Macaca fascicularis: one gene and its partners. The protein of the gene in region 1 interacts with the protein of each later gene in a pairwise test. Links are inferred from orthologs where the notes say so. Each region holds a gene or a part of one and is shown in the gene's direction. Other genes may lie near its edges.

Region 1 (3,966 bases):
GGCTGTCTCTGCAGTGTGTTTGCAGGGGCCATGCTTGCTCTGTGCAGTGCTGCTGTCGTCCAGGGCAGGTCCCACGGGAGGCCCGCTGTGGCCAGGTTCCATGGGGTGGGGCGCCCTGGGACAGGGGCTGCTGCTCTTCCCAGGGCCACCAGTGAGACTCTCAGTGTGTAGAGTGCGGTTCTGTGTGGAAGTTGTGGGGTGCATCTCCTGGCCCTCCCATAGTGGGACGCAGCCTCAAGTGAAGACCCCACAGCCCATGTCGAGTGCCTCAGAGCTGAGGCCGCCCACCTGCCTGCCTGGGCCCTCTTGACCCCGGAGCTGCCTGCCTGGCTGTTGGAGCGCCTGGTGGATTGAGTGGGAAGTGGGTGTAGGTGCTCACAGGCGATGGGGTCACCAGAACCCACCCAGGGGCCCCTCACCTGTCCCCCATTCTCATCCCACACTCTGGGAGGTGGTAGAAGGTCGGGAGGGCCAGCGGGACTCTGCCACCAGGACTCACTTCCGCCCCTCTTGGAACCGGGCCTCGCTTTCCTGCGAGCTTCTCCTGAGTTCTCAGTGCCCACCTTTGCTCTCCCTGAGGCCTTGAGGTGACTCTGCCTTGGGAATGGGGAGGGTTTGGGTCTCAGCCTCCCTCATGGTGCTGGCTTGGGTCTGAGCCCTGACTGGCACTCTGGGAGCCTGTGCTCTTCATGGTTGCCATTGAGATTTTTCCAGGAGGCCCTGTGGCATTGGCTTTTGCTCTCTCTGGAAGCTCTGCCTTGCTTTTTTTTCCCCCTTTTGTCCGCTCTGTAGGTGCTTGAGGGGGAGTTACAGATCCAGCAGAGGCTCAGTGACACTCTCCCTGGACCTGACGCGACCCAAGAGTGATGGGGAGACAGGATGTGCCACTGAGTCCTCGGTGTGGCCCTGAGGCCGTGTCCCTGCCGCTCAGGGTGTGCAGTCTGCAGAGCCGCGTGGGTTGTGGGCCATGCCACTGACGGGACTGTGTCTCTCCAGGTGCTGCAGGGCGCACAGCTGATCGCTGTGGCCTCCTCGGACCCCGCGGCGGCGGGCGTGGATGGATCACCGCTCCAGGGCAGCGACATCCAGGTTCAGTACGTGCAGCTGGCGCCAGTGAGCGACCACACGGCCGGGGCGCAGGTGAGTCTGGGGCCCCGCGCCGGGACACTGAAGTGATGGCACGGCCGCCTGCCGCTGCCACCGGGCACACGTGGCCCCGGGGCTTTCTCGTGACTCCTCCCGTGCGGAGGGCATGTGATCGGACACGGATGCCCATCTGAGGGTTCCACGTCTCCCACGCACCATGAATGTGAAGGTGAGAAGGTAGATCCTGCCCCAGTTCTAAATTTCAACTGATTCTGGAGACTGTCCTGTGGAAATGTTTGTCAGTTCAGGGGCAGAAGTGAAGCTCTGCCCTGTGCTCCCTCCACGGAGCCCTTTCCTGTGGGCTGGGGAGCATGGGGGCCCTGTCAGCTCGAGAGCTCCCTGCCCCTTGTCAAAGGCCTCAGCTTGGGGCAGAGCCAGCACCTTGGGCCATCATGACCCTGGCGTCCGCCACCTTGGGCCATCATGACCCTGGCGTCCGCCGAAACAAAGTGCAGGTCTGCTGTGCTCTGTGGATGGCCTGGTAGGCTCATGGCCAGCATCTCCAGACCTCGCAGGCGGAAGCGCCTGAGGGTGCGGCTGTGCTGACATCCCCAGGGTGGCCGAGGCCCAGACAAGAGCCCGTGATGCCATGGGCTGTTCGCTCTGAACACAGGAGGCGGAAGGTGGCCCTGTGTCCCGGAGCAGGCTTGGTCCCGCAGCCTCCGTGCCGCCTGGTTTGGGAACGTGCCCAACCGGGACCTTTTCCTTGTTCTTCCTCCAGCCGGGTGGTTGGCTGCTGCCCAGCCCTTTGGGAACATTCTGGCTGCTGTCTCTGGGTCTGTTCCTCTCCTTCCTGTGGACCCAGCACTGGTGATCCCCCTGTGTCTTGATGCCATCCATCTTCAATGCTTAGAATTAAAATCCTAGATGTCTGAGCAGCCTTTCCCTGCTCCCCGGGCGCTGCTGAGGGTGGGTGTGCCCGTCAGCCCTCGGGAGGAGTGGAGTCCTCCTCAGGAGGCGCTTGCTGAAGAATTGGGCTCAGTAGAGCCCACGCTCACCAGGGTGTGCAGGTCGCCCGGCTGGGCAGTTCTGCAGCCCCTCAGTGGCAGCAGCCACGCGACGGTGTCAGTGCTCGCCTGACACTCACGTCGTCTTCACAGCATGGCAGCTGCGGGCCCAGAGTTTAAGGGCCCATGTCCTGTAGAAGGCCTGGCCCCTCCTGCAGCCTGAGCCTTCCTGCCGTGCCGATGGGCGCGGTGGTCCCTGCACAGGCACGCCCTGTACTCTGTGCCCATGGGTGTGGTGGCCCCTGCACGGGCATGCCTTGTACTCTGCATGGTGTTTGGTTCTACACTGTCGCTGACCCCACTGGAGATGGGCTGGTAGCACATGACAGTCATGGGCACAGAATGGGCAGGCGGGAGGTGGGGGGTGGGTGGGATGGTGAAGGCAAACTCATTGAGCAGCGCTTATTTTATGTGGTGTGAACCTTGACCTGCCCGTGAAGAACAGCGAGGCGTGGTCAGCCCATGCTAGGACACATGGCGGCCCCTTGTGCTGTTCCAGACAGGAGCGCTGCAGGAGGGCAGTTAGGTCCGCGCCTGGGAATCTAGATGTGGGGGCCATGCCTGAGAGCTTCTGCTGCATTATAAGTTTCTGGTCATTTCCAGATTTCACAATTGAAGAAACCTGTGTCCCATGGTTGGTGTTTACACCCCTAGCTTCCTTTAAGCTTTCTCTGTCACCATGCCCTCCCTGGCAGGCCCCAGGTGAATGATTTAATTAGGATCCATCGTAACAGCGAAGGAAGACAGTGTGCTTAACGGGCCGCTTTCCCTGCAGAAAACCCCAGTGTGGTTGGACTTGGTGGTGAGCAGGTTTGCCTATCCGAGGCCAGGCAGCTGCAGGGTGCGGTAGCTTGTCACCAGCTGCACAGCTCTCTGCCTTACCATCTCAGCTTGTCCTCAGGCTAGCTCTGCCCCACTGGGAAGTGACCGAAGGCCTTCCTGGTGGCCCTGCAGGCGTGACTGCACCCAACAGAAACGGGTTTCTGGTTAAGCCTCCTTATCCACTGAAGCTCCCACCCCAGCAACGCTCGGGAATGGCCTGGCATCTTCCGTTGGTCGGAGCAGGGTCACACACATGAGCTAATTCTAGGAAAACCTGTGACTCGGCTGTGAGGGCCTGGCTCTGAGAAGATGGGGTTCCCTTAGGAGGGAAGGCAGGTCGCTGGCCTGTGGGGGTGGCCAATCCTCAAAGTGGAGAGTGGGGCCTGTTCCCTGGAGCAGTGGATTGGAAGGGTAGGGGGGTGCTATTTGCAGGGAAGACACTTGTCTTAATGCAGGGTGGCCTGCGGGTGTCATAGGCTCCCTGAACCATCTGTAGCAGGGGCAGTGCCTCCACCAGCCTCTGCCTGGAACATGGGTCTGGCCACCATCCTTGGAGGGCAAGTGAGTCCCTCCCAGCCAGCCCAGACCTGTGCCCCACTGTCCTCACCCACCCTGGTCCCTAGCTGCCTTTCCAGCTGTCCGGGGGAAGGAGCGTTGCATCCCAGGCAGTGGCCCCCCTACCCCAGCCTCCTGTGGCCTGCAGCCACCCACCCCAGGCCCTGGTGTGGTTCCTCCGTTCCAGCTCAGGTTCACCCCTTCCCCAGGCCCTGGTGTGGTTCCTCCGTTCCAGCTCAGGCTCGCCCCTTCCCCAGGCCCTGGTGTGGTTCCTCCATTCCAGCTCAGGTTCACCCCTTCCCATTAGGCCTTCCCAGCTGTGGCTGGGCTCTCAGGAGACAGTCCCTGCACTGACCACTCATCCTACCCTGGAAGGCCCCTTCTCCATCCAGGAAACAGTATATCGAGTGTCATTTGACATTTGTCTTGAAAAAGC
Region 2 (4,934 bases), on another chromosome or scaffold:
ATTACAGGTATGTGCCACCATGCCCAGCTAATTTTGTATTTTTAATAGAGATGGGGTTTCCTCCATGTTGGTCAAGCTGGTCTCCAACTCTCGACCTCAGGTGATCCGCCCGCCTTAGCCTCTCAAAGTGCTGCGATTACAGGCATGAGCCACCGCACCCGGTCTCCTCTCTGGGTCTTTAAAAGCCTTCCACCTCACGCCTGTAATTCCAGCACTCTGGGAGGCTGAGATGGGCGGATCATGAGGTCAAGAGATCAAGACCACCCTGGCCAACATGGTGAAACCCCCTTCTCTACTAAAAATACAAAAATTAGCCGGGCGTGGCGGCACGCACCTGTAATCCCAGCTACTTGGGAAGCTGAGGCAGGAGATTTGCCTGAACGCGGGAGGCGGAGGTTGCAGTGAGCCGAGATCGAGTCACTGCACTCCAGCCTGGGGGACAGAGCGAGACTTCGTCTCAAAAAAACAAAACAAAACAAAAGTCTTCCACCACCGCGCACAGGGATCCAGTAGGATTTCAGGTCCAGAGTGAATCATACTATGGTCTCCACTCCCACATTTTTACACGACGAAATCTGTCTAGCATGTACAACTAATAAAAATAGTACAGGGAAAAGAGGTAATGGATAGGCAATTTATAGCCAGAGAGGTGGGAGTGTAGGTTTTGGGTCCACCATTTTTTATTTTCTTGATAAGGAGCCCTTTAGGCCATTTTAGAACTAGTGTCACTGCCTGCCTTCCTGGGTCTTTGCCACACCAAAGACTTGTTTCCTCCACTAGACAAAAACATGGATGGCTGGCCCAGTTCTGTCTCAAACAATGATCGTGTAGAATCAAATAAGGCCCTCTGTAAACTATAGCATTTTACAGACTGGTAAGGTAGCAGCCATCTTTCCAAGGTATCAGGGAACAGCGAAGCAGCTGATTAAAATAGTCTTGATTACTTGAGATACAGGAGGGTAGGAATAACATGTGGTAACTGAACTCCATAGATACTATCTAAAACCGCATTCTAACAGGCAAATTTAATCTTTCTGAGATTTGCCTCTTTGTAGAGCTCTAAAAAATAAGAAAAGGAGAGGGGTGTAAAATGCCACTTAAGATTTGTTAAATTTCTTCTCCTTTTGAGCCCTGTCCATAGGTAGATGGAATTAGGGCAGAACAAAAACATTAAGAATAAAAGCCCGAAGGAGAGGCGCGTACATGTGAATACAAGTGAATACTGGGGTAAGGAAATGAGTTATGCGGAAAAGGCTTCAGACCATCCCTGGGAACTGTTCCGGGTCCGGACATTTCCTTTGGCAACCTTCCAGAGTCTGAGTCCCCAGGGCTCCCCACTGCGGGAAGGGAAAGGCGCGCGTGGCTAGGCGCGCGCGTACACGGGCACTCACGTGTACACACACACGCGCGCACACTACACATACACACACTGCCCATTTCCTCCGCTCCCTCCCCGCGGGGGGCGGGTCTCTTTCTCTTTAAAGAGCAGACGGTCTCCGCGCACACCCAGGCTCTCAAGGCCTCGGGGGCCCGGGACCCGAGCTGCTCGTAGCCAATGGGAGCGGTAGAGCGGCTCGAGCGCGGCTGACGCTGCACCAATGGGCGATCGTGGGGGGCGGGGGCAGCGGAGGAGACACTATTGTTGATGAGGAGCGGCGGCGGCGGCGGCGGCTGCACCACCTCGTTGCTGCCGGTCCCGGCCCGGTCGCCCCCTGCACCCCGGAGTCCAGCTTCGTCACCCCGCGCGGGGGCCTGCCCTCCGGCCTCGAGAATCCTCCCCCTGCAGCCCAACAACAAAACCCCCCGTCTCGCCCAGTCACCGGGGAGGGGGGGACCATGTCCCAGCGGGTGAGGCGCAATGGGTCCCCCACGCCGGCCGGCTCCCTTGGGGGTGGTGCGGTCGCCACGGCCGGGGGACCCGGGAGCCGCTTGCAGCCCATGAGGGCGACGGTTCCGTTCCAGCTGAAGCAGCAGCAGCAACATGGCAGCCCCACGCGGAGCGGCGGCGGCGGCGGCGGCGGCGGCAACAACAACGGTGGCTGCTGTGGTGGCGCCTCAGGCCCCGCAGGCGGCGGCGGCGGCCCGCGCACCGCCTTGCGCAGCACCAGCCCCACGCGCGGCGGCGGGAACGCGGCCGCGCGCACCAGCCCCACGGTGGCCACGCAGACGGGCGCGTCCGCGACGTCCACGCGAGGCACCAGCCCCACGCGCGGCGCCGCGCCTGGAGCTCGCGGGAGCCCCCCACGGCCGCCGCCACCGCCGCCGTTGCTGGGCACCGTGTCGTCGCCCAGCTCGTCGCCCACCCACCTGTGGACCGGCGAGGTGAGCGCGGCCCCACCCCCAGCCCGCGTCCGGCATCGGAGGAGGTCTCCGGAGCAGAGCCGAAGCTCGCCGGAGAAGAGGAGCCCTAGCGCCCCGGTTTGCAAAGCAGGTAAGTGCTGGGGGTCGCGCAGCGAGGGGGAGGCGGCGGCGGGAAGGAGTCCCGGGCGCGCGCTGCAATCGCGCGGGGAATGCAGCGCTGCCGCGGAGCCCGGGTGGCTGGGGGCGGGGCTGGGGGCGGTGTCGGGCGGTGGGGACCGGGCAGTGCGGCCCCGCCTTTCCCGGGCCTACCCTGCGCCCCGCCCGCCCGTCTCATTCATTCCTCTGCCCGCCCCGCGCGGCTCCCTGGCGGTGGAGGTGCAGTGGCTAAACCTTGGGCTTGAGCTGATGAGTGTTAATGATAACCCTGGCGTCCTGGCCGTATTCCTGGAGGAGTCGTTACTGCTTACCCTCCTTTGAGGGTGAGGCTAGGAGTGGTTTATCACTTTGTTTTAGGCACAAGGTTAATGTTGGCATAGCCCGTATCTGCTGCTGCTAAGTATTTCTGTTCACAAAACAGTTTCAAATCTGGGGTACTGAATGCATTAGCAGTGGCAGATTTGGATCACTGAACAGACGAGGCTGAGACCCGTGTTTTAGCATTTTCCAAGACTTTGATAAATGGGTAGCAAGAAGTGAGAATTAAGCAAGATTCCTTAGGAAGGTTTATGGGTTTTGTCTGAGGTTCTGGGTGTATTTCTGATTTTGTGTACTGATTCTGTTGTTTGAATGTAGAAAAACAGAATCCAGTGTTTGTCTCCATCTTGTTATTGTTTTAGGGAGCTAACATTCGTTGTTTTTCTGTTTACCTGGAAGCTTTCTTGGGGAAAGTCGTGAATGGAGCTGTGGGTGCCATTGGAGTCATTCATAAAGAGTAACTCAAAAGAAAAATTCAAATTGTGGGAAGTGGAAAGGAATAAAATTTATCATCTTGTTGCCTTGAGAAAATAAATATGTGGTTTTTAATTATGTATTCATTTTTGTCAACATATATCTTTGTCTTTCCCTTACTGGGATAGTTCTGTTAGAATCTTCCAGGCAGAATGGTTGGGAATTTCAGGAAACAAATTCAGATGAAATAGTTTCCGAAATGGAAGGAATAGGATGACTCTTTCTTACTGTTTATGAAAAGTTTTAGATAATACTTTTTTTAGAGATAATTGCCCTGGAAAATGATTAATAGTGTTTTCTTTTTTTGAGGTAGAATCTCTGTCACCCAGGCTGGAGTACAGTTACGCGATCTTGGCTTACTGCAACCTCTAACTCCCGGGTTCAAACGATTCTGCCTCAGCCTCCTAAGTAGCTGGGGTTACAGGCGACCGCCACCATAACCGGCTAATTTTTAGTAGAGACAGTGTTTCACCATGTTGGCCAGGCTGGTCTCGAACTCCTGACTTCAGGTGATCCGCCCGCCTCGGCTTCTCAAAATGCTGGGATTACAGGCGTGCGCCTCCGCGCGCTGCCCGAATAGTGCTTTCTAATTAGAACTAGAGCACTGTTTTATTTATTTGTATTTATATTTTTATTTATTTCTTGAGAGGGAGTCTTGCTCAGCCGCCCAAACTGGAGTGCAGTTATGTGATCTCGGCTCACTGCAACCACTGTCACCCGGGTTCAAGCAATTCTTCTGTCTCAGCCTCCCGAGTACCTGGGATTACAGGCACCCGCCATCATGCCCGGCTAATTTTTGTATTTTAGTAGAGACAGGGTTTCACCATGTTGGCCAGGCTGATTTGGAACTCTTGACCTCAGGTGATCTGCCTGCCTCGGCCTCCCGAAGTGCTAGGATTGCCCGGTCCAGAGCACTATTTTAAATCTTTTGAGAATGCAGAATGCTTTTCTAAAACTGTGATAAAAGTATTAGACTTCACCTCCCCGCTTCATAACCTCTGTCACCTGATGAACTCTTACTATGTGTCAGGTAGTTTTTATGCAAAATCTCATTTAACCTTCACTATGGCTTTTAGAGAGGTTAAGTAACAAGTTGCAGAGCTGGTATTTATTTGAACTTTGGTCAGTTGTACTCCAAAGACCATGTCTTTATATTATATCAAGGAAGTGACATCATGATGTGTAAGATAGAATGTGGGAAATATATAGCAGGCCAAAATTACATGTACTTAGTTAAGTAAATTTTTTTTTTTTTTTTTGAGACGACGTCTCACTCTGTCATCCAGGCTGGAGTGCAGTGACGTGATCTTGGCTCACCGCAACGCCTACCTCCCGGGTTCAAGCAATGCTCCTGCCTCAGCCTCCCGAGTAGCAGGGATTACAGGCATGTGCTACCATGACCGGCTAATTTTGTATTTTTAGTAGAGACGGGGTTTTTCCATGTTGTTCAGCCTGGTCTTGAACTCCCAACCTCAAGTGATCTGCCGACCTTGGCTTCCCCAAAGTACTGGGATTACAGGCATGAGCCACTGTGCCCAGCCACTAGTTAAGTAACTCTTACAGATATGAACAAAACTGCTTTAGTCCTTCAGCCTTCTGGAGCCAGCATAGTGCATCAGGTGGAAGGGAAGGAGAACTGCTTATAAATGGGCAGTAGAGGTGGCAGAAGGAGGCACAGCCTGTAG
Region 3 (4,873 bases), on another chromosome or scaffold:
ATAATGAATTAAAGTAATTACACGACAGCATAAAATAGGATTTGAGTTTCATATAGTCTTTTGGTGATTGATCCTAGAATCTTAACATGGGCTTGCTTCTCCAGATCAGGTCTGGTAAGTCTTCAGAAGTATTTTCAGAAGGATAGGGATTCTTCTCAGTCAAATAATGAAGTCCTTCCTAAGCATCCCACACTAGTGGAAATCACTCACATGGTTTTGGTATGAAATGTAATGAAGCTAGGTGGTGGCAGCGTGTGTATGTGTGTGTGCACAGTGTGTGTATGTGTGTGTGCACGGGCAGGTGCATACAATTTGGAATGCCTACTTCCACTGCCTATTTTCACAGTCTGGTGGTTCGAATGGAGTGTGTATATAAAGAGAACGAATAAACATAATTCTGGATTTCCCCTTTCTGCACCAAGTACTTGGTTTGAAGCAAACATTTGTGTATTGCTTAAATAGCAAACATTTTCAAATATTCAAGGAAAATATTAATTTTTATAATCTCAGAAAGCAACAAAGGACAAAATTTCTCAGCTACCTGAGAAGAGGTAGTTTTTGTTTGGGGAAGAATAAACAGGTGGATGGTCGTTTGAGTGGACCAAACAATTTCTTTGAGCCAACCCATCTCAGCCTTGATTGCAGCAAAAAGCATAAGGATGTGGAGTGTGTGTGGTTTCTTAGAACTGGGGATCTCTGCTGAATCTAGTCACAATGGAAGCAAAGCAGTTTCCATCACAATAATCGCTTTAACAATCGTGTGCCACTTCTTTCCAGGATCCAGAAGGGCATGAGGATCAAAATGGCTTTTAAAAGTTCTTCACTTAAACAAGGCCACAGCCACAAGGCTACTTGGCCGAGTGTCTCTTGAGAAAGAGTGAGTGCCATTTTGTTCTTTGTTCCAATGACAGTTGTTGGTGCCACTGGGCCTCACCACCTGGCCTGTATCATGAAGTCCTCCTCTTGACTGGGTCTAAGCCTTGAGTGGAAAGTGGGGGAGCCTCCCAACACTTCCTTGGAAACTCTAGGGAAGTAAATTGGGGAATATTTTCTTTGGGAGTCTCATTTTTCTCACCAAAATTTAGATACAGCTTCTGAAACTAATTATTCTTTTTTCATTATAAAAAATATTTTCCTTTATTTATTTATTTGCAGGCCCAGCCAAACTTGACTAGAAAAGAAGCCCGGGCAGGGGTTTGGATGAGCCCATGACGTGCAGCACGCTCCGACCAATTGGGAGGCCATGAAAAAGGGGAGGGCGGAAGTGACGAGCCGTATCCCTCCGCGGGGCGAGAGGGTCGGTGGGGGGAGTCGGCGTCTCTCTCCCCCGCGCCAGCTCCCGTACACGGAGCCGCATTCCTTGGCCCCCCCACCCCCCTCCCTCGGGGCCCCCCCCGCCCCCCTCGGGAAAAAAATCCACCCCAAATCACTCGAACCCGAGGGAGGCTTCCTTTCACCCTTGGGGAGACGAGCTTTCAACGGTTACCTCTTCTTCGTCTCCCCCCAAGCCCCTGTCCCCTCCCTGCTCCCACCCCCTTCTGGCGCCGGGTGTAAGGTCCCTTTAAGGCGACGGCGCCTTTCTCGGGTCAGACTACCGGCGGCGACGACCACGGGAGGTGAGTGAGCGAGCGAGCCTTCTCTCTCCCCACCCCCTGCTCCCGGGGGTTCCGTTATCTTTTCGCTCGGCGAGGCGTTCCGAGGCGAGACAATGAGAGGGGGATGGGGCCGGTACGCGCGGGGGTGGGGGCGGGGGGCCGGCGGCGCGCGCCCCCGCCCACCGCGAGTGGCGGCGCGGCCCGCGGCAGGGGCGGCCGCAGGGCGCGGTGCGCGAGCGCGAGTGTGTGTGCGTGCGCCCCGGGCCGCGGGAGCTGCGCGAAGGGCCGGCGGCGGAGGCCCCTGCCTGCCGGCTGGCCGGCCACCCCCGCCCCCTGGCGCCCGTCGCGGCGCGCGCGCGCGCACTCGCGCCCCACGGCCCTGCACACAGCCCGACGTCCACACGCACGCCCGGCGCGAGGCGTCTCGGAGGAGTGGGCGGCGCGGGCGCGGGCGGTGGCCCGCTGGGGAAGGGGCGGGGGCGCGGGCGGCGGCGAGACGGCGGAGCGCGGCGGGAGGGGCCGGCGAGGGGGCGAGGCCGGGCGGCGGCGGGGGCGGGCGGCGGCGGAGCGGCCCCTGGGGGTGGGGGTGCGCGGCCCTCCCCGCCCGGTCCCCGCTCGGAGAAGGAGTGGGGCGCTCGTTTTGAGCGGGAGGAGGAAAATGAGTGATTGCTGAGCCGATGCCTTGTTATGTAATCTCTCCTTGGTCTAATAGTACATCCTAAGCCTTAGTGCACTGCAGCTAGTTTACGAACTCTCCTCCCTCGGCCCCCAAATTTCTTTAGGGATGGCGCCGTGATTTATCAAATGGGATGGGGCGGAGAATCTCTATTTTCTGGTGATTATGTCCTGCCGCGGTGGGCGCCATGTTTATCCCGGGGACTATTTTCTTTAGATTTTTGGCAGCTTTTGCAAAGGAGTACTGTCATTAATCTACTTGCTTTCCCTCTTTCTGCGTGTTCTGATTTCCTTCTTCTCCAGATGTGGGATTCTCTCAAACTGCTAGTAGCACTTGTCTTGGACATTCTTAGTTCAGAAAAAGGTAGTGCTGATGAGTCCTCAGAGTCATTTGGTGGCCAGTCTCATTTTCAAAATGGAAATTAAGATGCAGTTGGACTATCTCAGAGCAGCCGCTGTCTTGATGCAGGCGGTGTAGCCCGTCCCTCCAAGCCCGTGGACACCTCTCACCGCAGCTCAAGACTCCACAGAAATGGGGTTTTACTTTTTTTTTTGAGACTAAGTTTCACTCTTGTCGTCCAGGCTGGTGTGCAAGTGGCACGATCTCTGCACACTGCAACCTCCGCCTCCCGGGTTCAAGTGATTCTCCTGCCTTAGCCTTCCTAGTAGCTGGGATTACAGGCATGTGCCACCACGCCCGGCTAATTTTTGTATTTTTAGTAGAGACGGGTTTTACCACGTTGACCAGGCCGCTCTTGAACGCCTGACCTCAGGTGCTCCGCCCGCCTTGGCCTCCCAAAGTGCTGGGATTACAGGCGTGAGCCACCGCTCCTGGCCGGGGTTTTACTTTTGTAGGCATTTACCCAACTAGAGGAAAGGGAAACGGAGGGGGCAGGGAGGGCTGCTCCTTGGCAAACGATTAATTTCGAGACACCATTGCTCAGGGTGTGAGAGCTTAAACTCTGAATTCGAACTGTTAGTACAATCATTCTCAACTTCGGGGTGCATAAAAAGTAACTCGAAGATTGTTAAACGTACAATTTGGGGGAGCCTCATCCCCCAAATTTATTCGAATGGAGCAGAGGGGAGTTGTCATCTCTACAGTTTTAAATGAGCAGTCCTGCGGCTGAGGCTGATTAATGTGACCACTACGTTGAAAATTACTGGTCTAACATAAAAGTGTTCAAGATGTTGAAACAAATGACACCTTGTGCCCTTGATTTCCTTCCCTTTTCCAGAGCTGTGTTGGTGTATCTCAAACTAAGGAGGTACATGGACTCTTGGGACGAACGTGATTTAGAGTTTCCACTCCCATCTTGAACTAGTGGTATAATATAGGAAAGCGGTTCTCGAAGTGTGGGCGGATGACCTGTGGGGATCTCCTCTTACCCTTTCAGGAGAGCCTCAAGGTCATAATTATTTTCAAAATAATAGTAAGATGCTATTTATTGTTTTCACTGATACGCTGATGGTTCAAAAGCAATGCTGGGTAAAACTACTGACGGTACCTTAGCACAAAGCAAGTCAGTGGCACCAAACTGCTTACTTGAGAATGCCCTTGAAGCAGTAAAATTTATTATTGTATTTTTATCTTTTTGAGACGGAGTTTTGCTCTGTCGCCCAGGGTGGAGTGCAGTGGCACTATCTCGGCTCACTGCAATCTCTGCCTCCCGGGTTGTATTTTTAGTAGAGATGGTGTTTCGCCATTTTGGCCAGGCTGGTCTCGAACTCGATGGCAGGCGATCCACCCACGGCGGCCTCCGGAAGTGCTGGGATTACAGGCTTGAGCCACCGTGCCCCGCCTGTTGTTATTAAATCTTAGCTTTTGACTACTTGTCTTTTTAATTTTTAAGAATTTGTGATGAAATAAACATGGATAAAGCATTTATGCTGCCTACGGAGGTGTGATTGTTGTCATGAGGGAAAAGCATTTGTGGGATTGGGTTGTGAGTGGCTTATTTCATGGAGTACCATGCGACTGGCAAACTGTGGTTTTTCACATTTAGTATTTGGCAGGTATTTCTTGAAAATGAAGTGAGCTTGTCACTTTTAGGAAAACAATTGACAGTATTTATTACCAGTGATAAAATTTGGGTGAAAATTAGAATTTTTAAAAAGTTGACAGCTGGAGTTTGACAGCTTCCTAGTACTTAAAAAACTTCCCTTATGATATCAGTGGTTAAGGACTGTAATATTTAAAAATGTTGTATAATATGTCATTTGGAAGATGGGCATAACTTAGTAAATCTGTATTTTGCAGATGACCAATGCATGATGTTGCAAAATCAAGCAAAAGTAAAAGAGCCTTTGAAAATACCAGATATAGCAATGGATTTTAACAGTAAAAAAGTGGATTGATGTGGTTTCAGATTCCAAAATGTTGCTATCCTTTAAGAAACTACTATCTGGCCTAGCATGGTGGCTCACTCCTGTAATCCCAGCACTTTGGAAGGCCCAGGTGGAAGGATAGTTTGAGTTGAGCCTAGTTCAACATAGTGAGACCCTGTCTCTATTTATTTAAGAAAAAAAAAAAAAGAAACTACCATTTGTTGAGTTTTAGTGTTTACCAATATCTACAGTTATCTGAAAAGGTTATTAAAATA
Region 4 (4,690 bases), on another chromosome or scaffold:
CAGCAGGCCTGCCACATTTGTTCAATGAAGGAATGATTCCCAAAAGAAATAGAGCACAGAGTTCAGAGGCGGGCTTCAGGGAAGAAATTTTAACAATGTCAAAAATTAATTGTGGAGTATCCATTGATGGATGAATGGATAACTTACATGTGGAATATGCATACAATGGAATATTATTCAGCCACAAGAAAGAAGGGGCTGGGCGCAGTGGCTCACGCCTGTAATCCCAGCACTTTGGGAGGCCCAGGCGGGCGGATCACAAGGTCAGGAGATCGATTCCATCCTGGTCAACATGATGAAACCCTGTCTGTACTAAAATACAAAAAAAAAAAAAAAAATTAGCCAGGCGTGGTGGCGCGCCCCTGTAGTCCCAGCTACTCAGGAGGCTGAGGCAGGGGAATAGCTTGAACCTGGGAGCTGGAGGTTGCAGTGAGCCAAGATTGCACCACTACACTCCAGACTGGCGACAGAGCGAGACTCCGTCTCAAAAAAAAAAAAAAAAAAAAAGAAAGGAAATTCTGACACATGCCACAACATGGACGAAAGTGAGGACATTGTGCTAACTGAAGTAAGACAGTCACAAAAAGACATATAATATATGGTTCCACTTATACGCAGTCCTTATAGTAGTCTAATTTAGAGACAAAGTAGAATAGTGAATGCCAAAGGCTGGGAGGAGGAAAGAATGGGGAGCTAGTGTTTACTGGGTATTGAGTTTCCATTTGAGAAGATGAAAAAGTCCTGGAGACGGATGGTGGTTGCACAAGAATGTGAACGTACTTGGTGCCACAGAACTACACTTGGAAACAGTTAAGATGGTAAGTTTTACGTTATGTATATTTTACCACAATTAAGAAAATTTAATTATGGGTAGTTGAGAGAATGTGGTCTTCCTCAACTTACGGTAGGAAAAGTCAAGAATAACTTAAAGGCTGATAATAGCATTTTAGAGGTCGAAACTGATCAGAGAGGCTATTCCATCAGGCTAGACTAGCTCAATAGTGACTTTTTCCAGGAGTAGAACCGCTGGGAAGAGAGAACTGGGCAGTAAGGAAAGCGAACTTGTTCAGTTAAGTTTGATTTTCTGCTTTAACGAGGGGCTTCCTGAGTCCCTTAATAAGATCCCCTCCCAAAAGAGGCACCCCGGGTCTCTGCGTCTCCCAGTCATGTCCCCGCCCGCCGGGCCAGAGCAATGGACTCCCAGGAGGCAGGGGAGGCGCGGGCGAGGCGGGTGGGGGAAGGGCAAGGACTCACTCTTCCTTTCCTCCTCCGCCGGGGCCCGCCCCGAACCCTGGCCCCGCCCCGGCTCCCTGGCTCCGCCTCCTCCTCCCGACCCCGCCCCGGCACCTTGGCCCCCCCGCCCACTCGGCTCCGCCCCGGCGTCCTGGCCCCGCCTCCGCCGCCCGGCCCCGCCCCGCTCCTGGCGGACTGCGAGCAGGAAGCGCGCGGTGGCTCTGCCGACGCCGCGTTTGGAAAGGTGTGGAGGGGGCTGGGGGCGCAAGTCGCGATCAGGCTGCGTCTCCTGCCCGCCCAGCTACCTGCGGCCCTGGCCCCACCCCGCCGCTTTGGGCCGCTCAGGTTCGCGGCCGCCCCCGCCCCGAGCGCCGGCTCGGGGCTCCGCTGCTCTGGCCTGGGAGGCGGGGCCGGCTGCGCGGCGTCATGCATATGCATGAACGGCGCGGCGGCGGCTCCATTGTGCCCTCGGAGCGGGCGGCGGCGCGATGGCGCGGGTGGCGGCGGCCCCGGGGCGGCGGGCGTCGCGGAGGGCGGGCTGAGCGCATGGAGCGGCGCGGGCCGGGGGCCGCCACGGCGAGGGGCCGGGCCAGGCCGGGCGGAGGTGAGCGGGGCCCTGGGGGTGGCCCCTGGCAACGCCGCCCGCGGGCAGGTGCGGGCCGGCGGGGGCGGGCAGGTGCGGCAGGTGCGGGCCGGCAGGTGCGGGCGGGCAGGTGTAGCCAGTCGCCCGGGGCGCCCCAGTTCGGTTGCGGCGCCGCGGTAGGGTTCGCAGCCGGGCTGGGGCTGAAGGCTCTGCCGCCCACCTGCCGGCACCTGCCACGCGTGCGTCGTGGTCTTGGGCAGGCTCGGCCCCGTGGGCGTCAGGGTCGTCCAGCCCTCCCCTGAGTCTTTGTTGGAGGCTGGCCGAGGGGTGTAAGCGGCGCTCGGGGTTTTCCTGAGCGATGAAGGCTGGCCGGGCCTTCGCTCCAACCTGATCGTTCCTGGCTCTGGGGCCAGGCAGTCTCACCTACATGGTACGCCCCTCCGCTCCCACTTACGTGCCCACAACAGGGCAATGTGGGGGCCCGCTGAGGCCGTCACCTGCTCGCCGAGGAGCTGTTCCGCTCCTGGGCTGAACGACGCTGAGCTGCCAGCCCCCAGCTGGCAGTTTTGATGAGGACACCCCTTTGCAAACTGGACATACTGAAGCTCAGGCGTGAGGATGCCCTGCTCCCCTGAGGTGCCTTGTCTTCCCTAGTGCCAGGTGTCCTTCACCGCGGCACCCCCACCCGGTGCCTTGTTTACCCCTCCACCTACCCTGTCTCTCCTCCCATTCCCTGGACCCTCTGCCCTGCAGTGTTCTGCCTCTCCTTCTCCCTGGGGTACCCTCTTTCCAGTATTACAGAACATCCATGGTGGTGTCTTTAATTTGTGTCATCGCAGATTTCACAGGGACACACATAGAACATGTGACTTGGTCTGAGACCGTGGTGATTATGGATAGGATGGACACAGACTCACCACCAAGTTCTGGCAAGCTAGAACCAGAGGGCATCCCTTGATGCTTAGTGAAACAGGAGAAGTGAAGGAATCTTAACTTTCAGGGGTACTGACCCTTGAATGGCCCTTGTCATGCCCAGGGGGTAGTTACAAGCTGGAAGTGTAAATGAGGAGAACAAGCAGATGACAGTTGCCGGTGTAGATTTCTGAAGGACAGGCCTAAGATGTTTGGGGAGCATCTTGATTATTGGGATTGAGCTCCCAAGGGCTGATGAGATGAAGGTGGTCATGTGTCCTCAGTCCTAGGATGCCACCAGATACCCATCTTAACACATTGTAAACTGATGCCAGGTTAAGGTTGTCCCTTCAGCTGTTCACTGAAACGTCTCATGCCTGGGCCATTGCTTATTCCTGGACTTTTTGATGAACCCCGCATCCTGCCTTAGCCCCACGCTTAGGCAGTTTAGTACTGTGGCCTTACAGGTAGAGGGGGCAGGACTTTCAGCTACCTGTACATGTGAGCACCCCACTTTTTGCTACTAGGGACCCCGCTCCTGCCCCATTCCAGAGCCATCATTTCTTCAAGACCCTTTGACTCCATTGTCACCCAGGTTGGATCCTGACCCTGCAGTCTTGGAGACAGTGAGACCTGATCTGTGACCTATTGAGAAGGGTTGCCTGCCACAGGGCCCACTTGCTGGTCCTGCTCCTAACTGACAAGGCAGGCAGAGAGGTGGCATGGAACAAGGCTCAGGAGGCCAACCAGGAGACTTGGGGGTGCAGCTACTCTGGGACACTTGGGTAAGAGAGGTCTGGGTAGTGAGTTGTGTAGCTCTGTCTAGAGGAAGATGTGATCTGACCCCCAGAAAGCCTTGTGGCCCTCTAGACTGACCTTGTCCATCTTTCAAGGGGTCCTAGCTTCCAGCTGGAGTTAGTTTACAAGGAAAGTGCCAGGCACTAAGACTCTTGGTGGGCATGGGCCTTGCCTGATCTGGAATCCAGATTCCAGGCTCCAGGCTGTTCCCAGCCCAGACTCAGAGCCAGGAGATGGGAGGAGGATCTGCACACACACAACGTAGAAACGCTTCCCTATGATCAGGGGCAGAGGGTCAAGGATACCAGACCTGGAGACTGGAAGTCTTTCTAAAGAGACTGTCCTCAGAGAGGAGACCAGAGGCATGAGTTCGGGTCGGCAGGAAATCCCCCTGTGCAGTGAAGAGTAAGCTCAGAGGGAACTGGAAATTGTGGTCTCTGTCCACAGCAGAGAAGCATCAGGGGTGGAATTCCCCAGGCCCATGTGACATAGGAGCCTGCTGTGGGCTCCTCCCCTCCCTGTACCTGCCCTGTGCCCCTTCTTCCCAGCTCACTCCATTTCCTAGATCTGAGGCTCTCAAACTATAGTTCCTGGACTAGCAGCAGTAGTAGCTGCAAACTTGTTAGAAATTACAGGCTTAGGCCCCAGCCCAGCCTACTGACTTCAGGTGGAGCTAGGCAGCCTGTCATCACCAGCTGCAAGCTGGTTTTGATGTGCTGTAGTTGAGGAGCTGCTGCGCTAGGTGACCTGAAATGAGGCAGTTCTGCACGGAGTGCTGCCTGCACTTTGAGGCCTTTGACCAGGGGTGGGGGGAGGAGGCACCTCTGCTTGCCTGCCAGATTCCCTCCCTGTGCTTCTTGGGACAGCAAAGTGGCCAGGCCAACCCAACCAGCTTTCCAGTAGGGAAGGATTGTCACAGCAGTTCTGCGGATACAGAAGGCTGGTGGTAGCAGTTGTATTGTAATTAAACTTCTTATTTTGAAATTATTGGCTGGACACGGTGGTGCACACCTCTCAATCTCAGCACTTTGGGAGGCAGAGGTGGGTGGATCACTTGAGGTCAAGAGTTCAAGACCAGCCTGGCCATCGTGGGGAACCCTCATCTCCACTAAAAATACAAAAATTAGCCGGGCGCGGTGGCTCACGCCTGTAATCCCTGCACTT
Region 5 (4,833 bases), on another chromosome or scaffold:
CGCAGCCAACATGCTGAGCTAATTTTTGTATTTTTAGTAGAGATCGGGCTTCACCATGTTGGCCAGGCTGGTCTCAAACTCCTGACCTCAAGCAATCTGCACCACCTCAGCCTTCCAAAGTGCTGGGATTACAGGCGTGAGTCACCGCACCTGGCCTCAAACACCTAGTTTCTAGTCCCAATTCTGCCCCTAACTCACTGGACAACTTCAAAGAATCTCTTGATCTTTCTGGGCACAGCTGCCTCATCTGTAAGAAAAAATGAGAAGCCAGTATTGGCCATTATCTTTTGACCTCTTGCCCTCTTAGAGGAGGCTTAGCTCCCTTGAACCACCTCTTCACCTCTTTTTGTTGTTGTTGTTGTTGTTGTTGCCCTGGCTGGAGTGCAGTGGCATGATCTCGGCTCACTGCAGCCTCCGCCTCCCAGGTTCAAGTGATTCTCCTGCCTCAGCCTCCTGAGTAGCTGGGACTACAGGCGTGTGCCACCACGCCCAGCTAATTTTTGTATTTTTAGTAGAAACGGGGTTTCACCATGTTGGCCAGGATGGTCTCGATCTCCTGACCTCGTGATCTGCCCACGTCCGGCCTCCCAAAGTGTTGGGATCACAGGAGTGAGCCACCGCACCCGGCCAGCCTCTTAAAGTTATATCACTCCATGACATTGTTAAGAGCACAGATCACTTGCCTTCTGTGGTGGAGCTGTGACTCCCGGGATGAGTTATTTACCCTCTCTGTGTCTCAAGTTCCCTCATCCGCAAAATGAAAGTAAAGAATAATTTAGTGTATCCTTGGGTTGTTAAAGGGTTAAAAGGCTAATATAGGTAAGGTATTTAGAACAGTGGTTGACACAGATAAGGACTACCCTGGCATTAAGATCGTTATTATTCACTTAAATGGATACCTTTGTAGTTTTACATGAAATGTATTATTGATAAATCAAAAAATAGAAATATAGGCATAATCTGAGGATATGAAAAGACTACAGTGGATAACAGGCAGGAAGAGAGCTTGGAGGCCACTGTTTTTCCTTTTTTGAAAAAGCTTCTCTGTGCTTTGATTTTTCACGTATGTGTATATATGTGACACTAGTTTCTTAATGGAAACAGATTGAGCAAAAAGATCACTAAAGTCCCTCTTATCTCTAAATGTAGAGATTGACTATGATTTTCAAAGAGCAACATTTTCTAGGTGTCTGGCTTATCCTTATTTTCATAGCTTGACCATTTTTACTTTTGACCTTCCCAGGAAATCCTTATGAAGGTTTAAAATAAACACAATCACTTTGGTATGTTTATAATGGAGCAGGTTCCGACTCCTTGGATACTAGAGAAACCGGGAAAGGTGAAAATAGGAACTTTGTAAATACTTGGCCTCAGGGACTGGCTGATATTTTACCTCTTACCATCTTTTCCCAGAAACAATTCAGTTAACTAAAGGAAAGATCATAAAGTTAACAACCGCAACAACAAAAGCGTGGTTGGTAGGCAGCAGCCTGGCGGTGAAAGCGTTAACAGGGCTGGGTAAGGCGATCCCTTGAAATGAGTAAGACTGAGTGGTTAAAGTTTTCAAAGCGGTGGCAGCAGCGGCGCTTGGGGGAATGGAAGCCGGTTGGAGGGAGCCGCGCACCCCTGCTGCGCGGAGGAGGGGGCTGAGCTGAACTCAGCAGAGGTTACACGCACAAGGTTAGTGGCCCCCACACGCCTCCCCAGCCCGCCGCCGCGCTGACATCTTTGGAGAGGAGTCTTAGAAAGGCGAGGCGCCATCGCTCATTCTCGCGTCGTATCTGTCCTGCTGACTAGTCGCTAGTGGAGCCACTGGCCTTCTTGCCAAACCTCTGGGCTCAGTACTCACTGAAGCCCTGGCACTTGTGAGGGACAGCTGACTTCTTCCCACACTTTTCTAAACTGGAGGCTTCTTTTCATACATCCAAAAGGAAACTTGTTTCTGGAATACGTACTGTTTTCAGACCACACACACACACACATGCATACACACATACACACACACACACGACCCCTACCTGTATATGCTGCCCCAGTATGGTTTTTACAGGTTGTGACCACAATCCGGAATTCCTATCTGCTTCGTTTGAAACTGAGAACAATGTCAAAGTAACTAAACAGGCTGCACTACTTTACCTCGTGGGAGGAATATTGTCTCTGAGCCTAAGGTAATCAGAATGAGGAGAAAAAAAAAAAAAGAACCAAAGATGAAAAAAGAAAAGAAACAGAGCTTCCAAGCACCCTGACTTGTAGTTAAGGCAAAACAATTTTTGGAAATGGGTTTCTAATGGAAATTTTTCATTGCTAGCATCATGTGGGAAGGTATATTGTAAAGGAAATAATTCTACATCTGCATGAGATTCAGATAAACGTACCGACCTAAACTAATCTGCATGTCATGCAGATAACAGATACACTTAGATTTAGGGGAAGGAGGAGGAGGAGATAACTTCACAGAACTTGCGTTCGGAGGGGGCTTTGTTGTAAGAATTGAGACTGTCAGGAGCTTTCCCCAGGCAGGGGTGAAGGAACTCTTCCCGGCCCTGGCTGGTAGAGAGGGCTTGGGGAGCCACTTCAGCAGGCCAGTTTATTTCTCTGCTCTCCTGGCCACATAGGCAATGAACAGTCAGTCTTGTGCTCAGTGTTCCTCTGATCCTCACAGCAAGCACGAGTTGAGTCTTATACCTGCTAGCATTGAATCAGAATGAGTCATTTGAAACTTGGGTGCCGGAACAAAGTACTTGCAAACTGCCTTATGAGACACTGCCTCGATGTAGGTGGGATATACCTCTCGGAGCAGTCACATTTTTTTTCTCTCCTCTCCCTCCTTCACGCAGGCAAGAATTCTGACGTTCTCAAGAGGCCAGCTCTGCCCCCGTTGCTCAACTGACCTTATCATGTGGACTCTGCTCCTCCAGGTGGGAACTGGAGTTTTGAAATAAAATGGATGATTTGACATTACTTGATCTTCTGGAGTGCCCTGTGTGCTTTGAGAAGCTCGATGTCACAGCCAAAGTCCTCCCTTGCCAGCACACCTTCTGCAAACCATGTCTACAGAGGGTTTTCAAGGCCCACAAAGAGCTGCGGTGCCCCGAATGCAGGACGCCTGTGTTTTGCAGCATCGAGGCGCTGCCGGCCAACCTGCTGCTCGTGCGCCTTCTCGATGGAGTGCGCTCAGGGCAGAGCTCCGGGAGAGGAGGCTCCTTCCGCAGGCCCGGCATGATGACCTTGCAGGATGGCAGGAAAAACAGGACCAACCCCAGACGTCTGCAGGCCAGTCCTTTCCGGCTAGTGCCTAATATCAGAATCCACATGGATGGGGTAAGAGAGATCTTATTTGTTAATATCATGCCCACATGGAGGTTGGATTTGTGTATACAAGGAGCTAGAGATTATCTTCTTTTAACTACAAGTTTAACATTCCAGAGTGCTGCTGGTGATTCCCCAGTGATACGTTTCTGTGGGCAGTGATCATTTTACTCAAATACGATGGAAGCCTGAGCCTACCTAATCTATCTAAGAATTCTCTTTAGAACTACTAAAGCTTCCTAGGTTCTCCTTTCCTCTTGTCCAGAAAGTAGTAGAACAAGGAAAGCCTTTTAGATTATATTTTTGGTGTTTGATTTCTGCTCTTCTGAGGCCAAACCAGTGCCTGGGAAATGCACGGAGGGTGGGGAAAAAAAAGAGAAAACAAATCCAACTGCTTGTTGCTTTTGAGATCTCTTGGAAATTTCCAAATGTCAAGTTTTTTTTGAATTTTACCCAAATCCATCTTCCCACCCCTAGTCATAAAGTGCTATTATGGCAATACTCATTCATAATCTGTTCGAAGCTATCAAGATACTTGACGAGGGAGATAGTGCAGGAGGGAAGCGTCTATGTGGGTGGACTGATTGATAGCGAAGGCTGGGCTGTGAAGTACATCAGCTGTGTATAGAAGCTCTGCAGATGTGTCTCATTTTGCAAAATGAATGAAATACACAGAAGATACACAGCAGGCGCTGCAATTAAAAAACCAAACAGACCCAGTTAAGCCTCGCAGGAGATTAATGCTTTTCATGTTTGGATAATGGGAATCGCTCTGTCCAGCACTGAAAGCACACCCCGAGGACTTCATCTGACCTGGCTATGAGTCTTGTTGTGGGATAATGTGTAAGGGCACATCTGGAAAGAAGGACATGGTCCTTGTGAGTCCAGCAGAATTATTTGCACTGTCACCCCTGGAGTCAGTGTAACAAAGTGGACACGGAAAGCTGTGGCTTGGGCCATTGGCATACTTAGAAAATCAAAGCTGCATTCCTTGAAGTCTTACCTAGAGCAAGCGTTAGAGTCTAAATGCTGGCAGCAGGGTCCTACATCTCCCTGCTCAGAAGACAAACAGTGTGTGGGAGGGTCTTGCAGGACTGCTTCCTTACTCAGGAGTGAGGAGTGGCTTGTGATATGCATTTGGAACAACTTTCCAAAATTTTCCTTCTAAGGGCTACCGCTTCCTGGGTTCACTGCATCTTTAAACCACCCATAGGGCATGTGTAAACATTCGAAATGAGGGTGGGAAGAAGTGGGACATTTTTTCACTGTAGACTTTTTATTGCCATTGTGCTTGTATGTGAACACATTCCAGAAAAGGACTTTTTCTTTTTAAGTCCCTCCACTACCCCTGGTCTAGTCATCAATCAGAATCCACAGGTCTGGAAATGGCAGAGTGGGGGTAGGGAAGCAAATTGTTCTCAAACATGCCTCGTTCGTAGAGAAAGGAGCTCTATCTCTGGGTCAGCAAATCCCCCTTGAATTCCGAAGACCTAGCAACCTCTTCCCTTCCCCACCTTGCGGAAG

What was found. The genes of interacting proteins can lie anywhere in the genome.
Region 2: the proteins of BANP (region 1) and FAM117B interact in binary tests that used the Homo sapiens proteins (3 or more experiments, as listed by UniProt). The two-hybrid records come from large-scale screens. The link is inferred for Macaca fascicularis from reciprocal best matches to the Homo sapiens genes BANP and FAM117B.
Region 3: the proteins of BANP (region 1) and POGZ interact in binary tests that used the Homo sapiens proteins (3 or more experiments, as listed by UniProt). The two-hybrid records come from large-scale screens. The link is inferred for Macaca fascicularis from reciprocal best matches to the Homo sapiens genes BANP and POGZ.
Region 4: the proteins of BANP (region 1) and ZMIZ2 interact in binary tests that used the Homo sapiens proteins (3 or more experiments, as listed by UniProt). The two-hybrid records come from large-scale screens. The link is inferred for Macaca fascicularis from reciprocal best matches to the Homo sapiens genes BANP and ZMIZ2.
Region 5: the proteins of BANP (region 1) and SH3RF2 interact in binary tests that used the Homo sapiens proteins (3 or more experiments, as listed by UniProt). The two-hybrid records come from large-scale screens. The link is inferred for Macaca fascicularis from reciprocal best matches to the Homo sapiens genes BANP and SH3RF2.

Annotation. Positions count from the first base shown.
Region 1 is NC_088394.1:83,976,807-83,980,772, forward strand, and holds part of BANP (protein BANP), read left to right. Parts: intron 1-996; coding exon 997-1,140; exon of another isoform or gene 1,141-1,315; intron 1,316-3,966. UniProt on the Homo sapiens protein: Controls V(D)J recombination during T-cell development by repressing T-cell receptor (TCR) beta enhancer function. Binds to scaffold/matrix attachment region beta (S/MARbeta), an ATC-rich DNA sequence located upstream of the TCR beta enhancer.
Region 2 is NC_088386.1:98,501,949-98,506,882, forward strand, and holds the start of FAM117B (protein FAM117B), read left to right. Parts: upstream 1-1,649; 5' UTR 1,650-1,836; coding exon 1,837-2,431; intron 2,432-4,934.
Region 3 is NC_088375.1:109,754,588-109,759,460, forward strand, and holds the start of POGZ (pogo transposable element with ZNF domain), read left to right. Parts: upstream 1-1,588; 5' UTR 1,589-1,616; intron 1,617-4,873. UniProt on the Homo sapiens protein: Plays a role in mitotic cell cycle progression and is involved in kinetochore assembly and mitotic sister chromatid cohesion.
Region 4 is NC_088377.1:85,592,727-85,597,416, reverse strand, and holds the start of ZMIZ2 (zinc finger MIZ domain-containing protein 2), read left to right. Parts: upstream 1-1,405; 5' UTR 1,406-1,477; exon of another isoform or gene 1,478-1,659; coding exon of another isoform or gene 1,660-1,837; intron 1,838-4,690. UniProt on the Homo sapiens protein: Increases ligand-dependent transcriptional activity of AR and other nuclear hormone receptors.
Region 5 is NC_088380.1:152,722,188-152,727,020, forward strand, and holds the start of SH3RF2 (E3 ubiquitin-protein ligase SH3RF2), read left to right. Parts: upstream 1-1,548; 5' UTR 1,549-1,680; intron 1,681-2,837; 5' UTR 2,838-2,943; coding exon 2,944-3,321; intron 3,322-4,833. UniProt on the Homo sapiens protein: Has E3 ubiquitin-protein ligase activity. Acts as an anti-apoptotic regulator of the JNK pathway by ubiquitinating and promoting the degradation of SH3RF1, a scaffold protein that is required for pro-apoptotic JNK activation.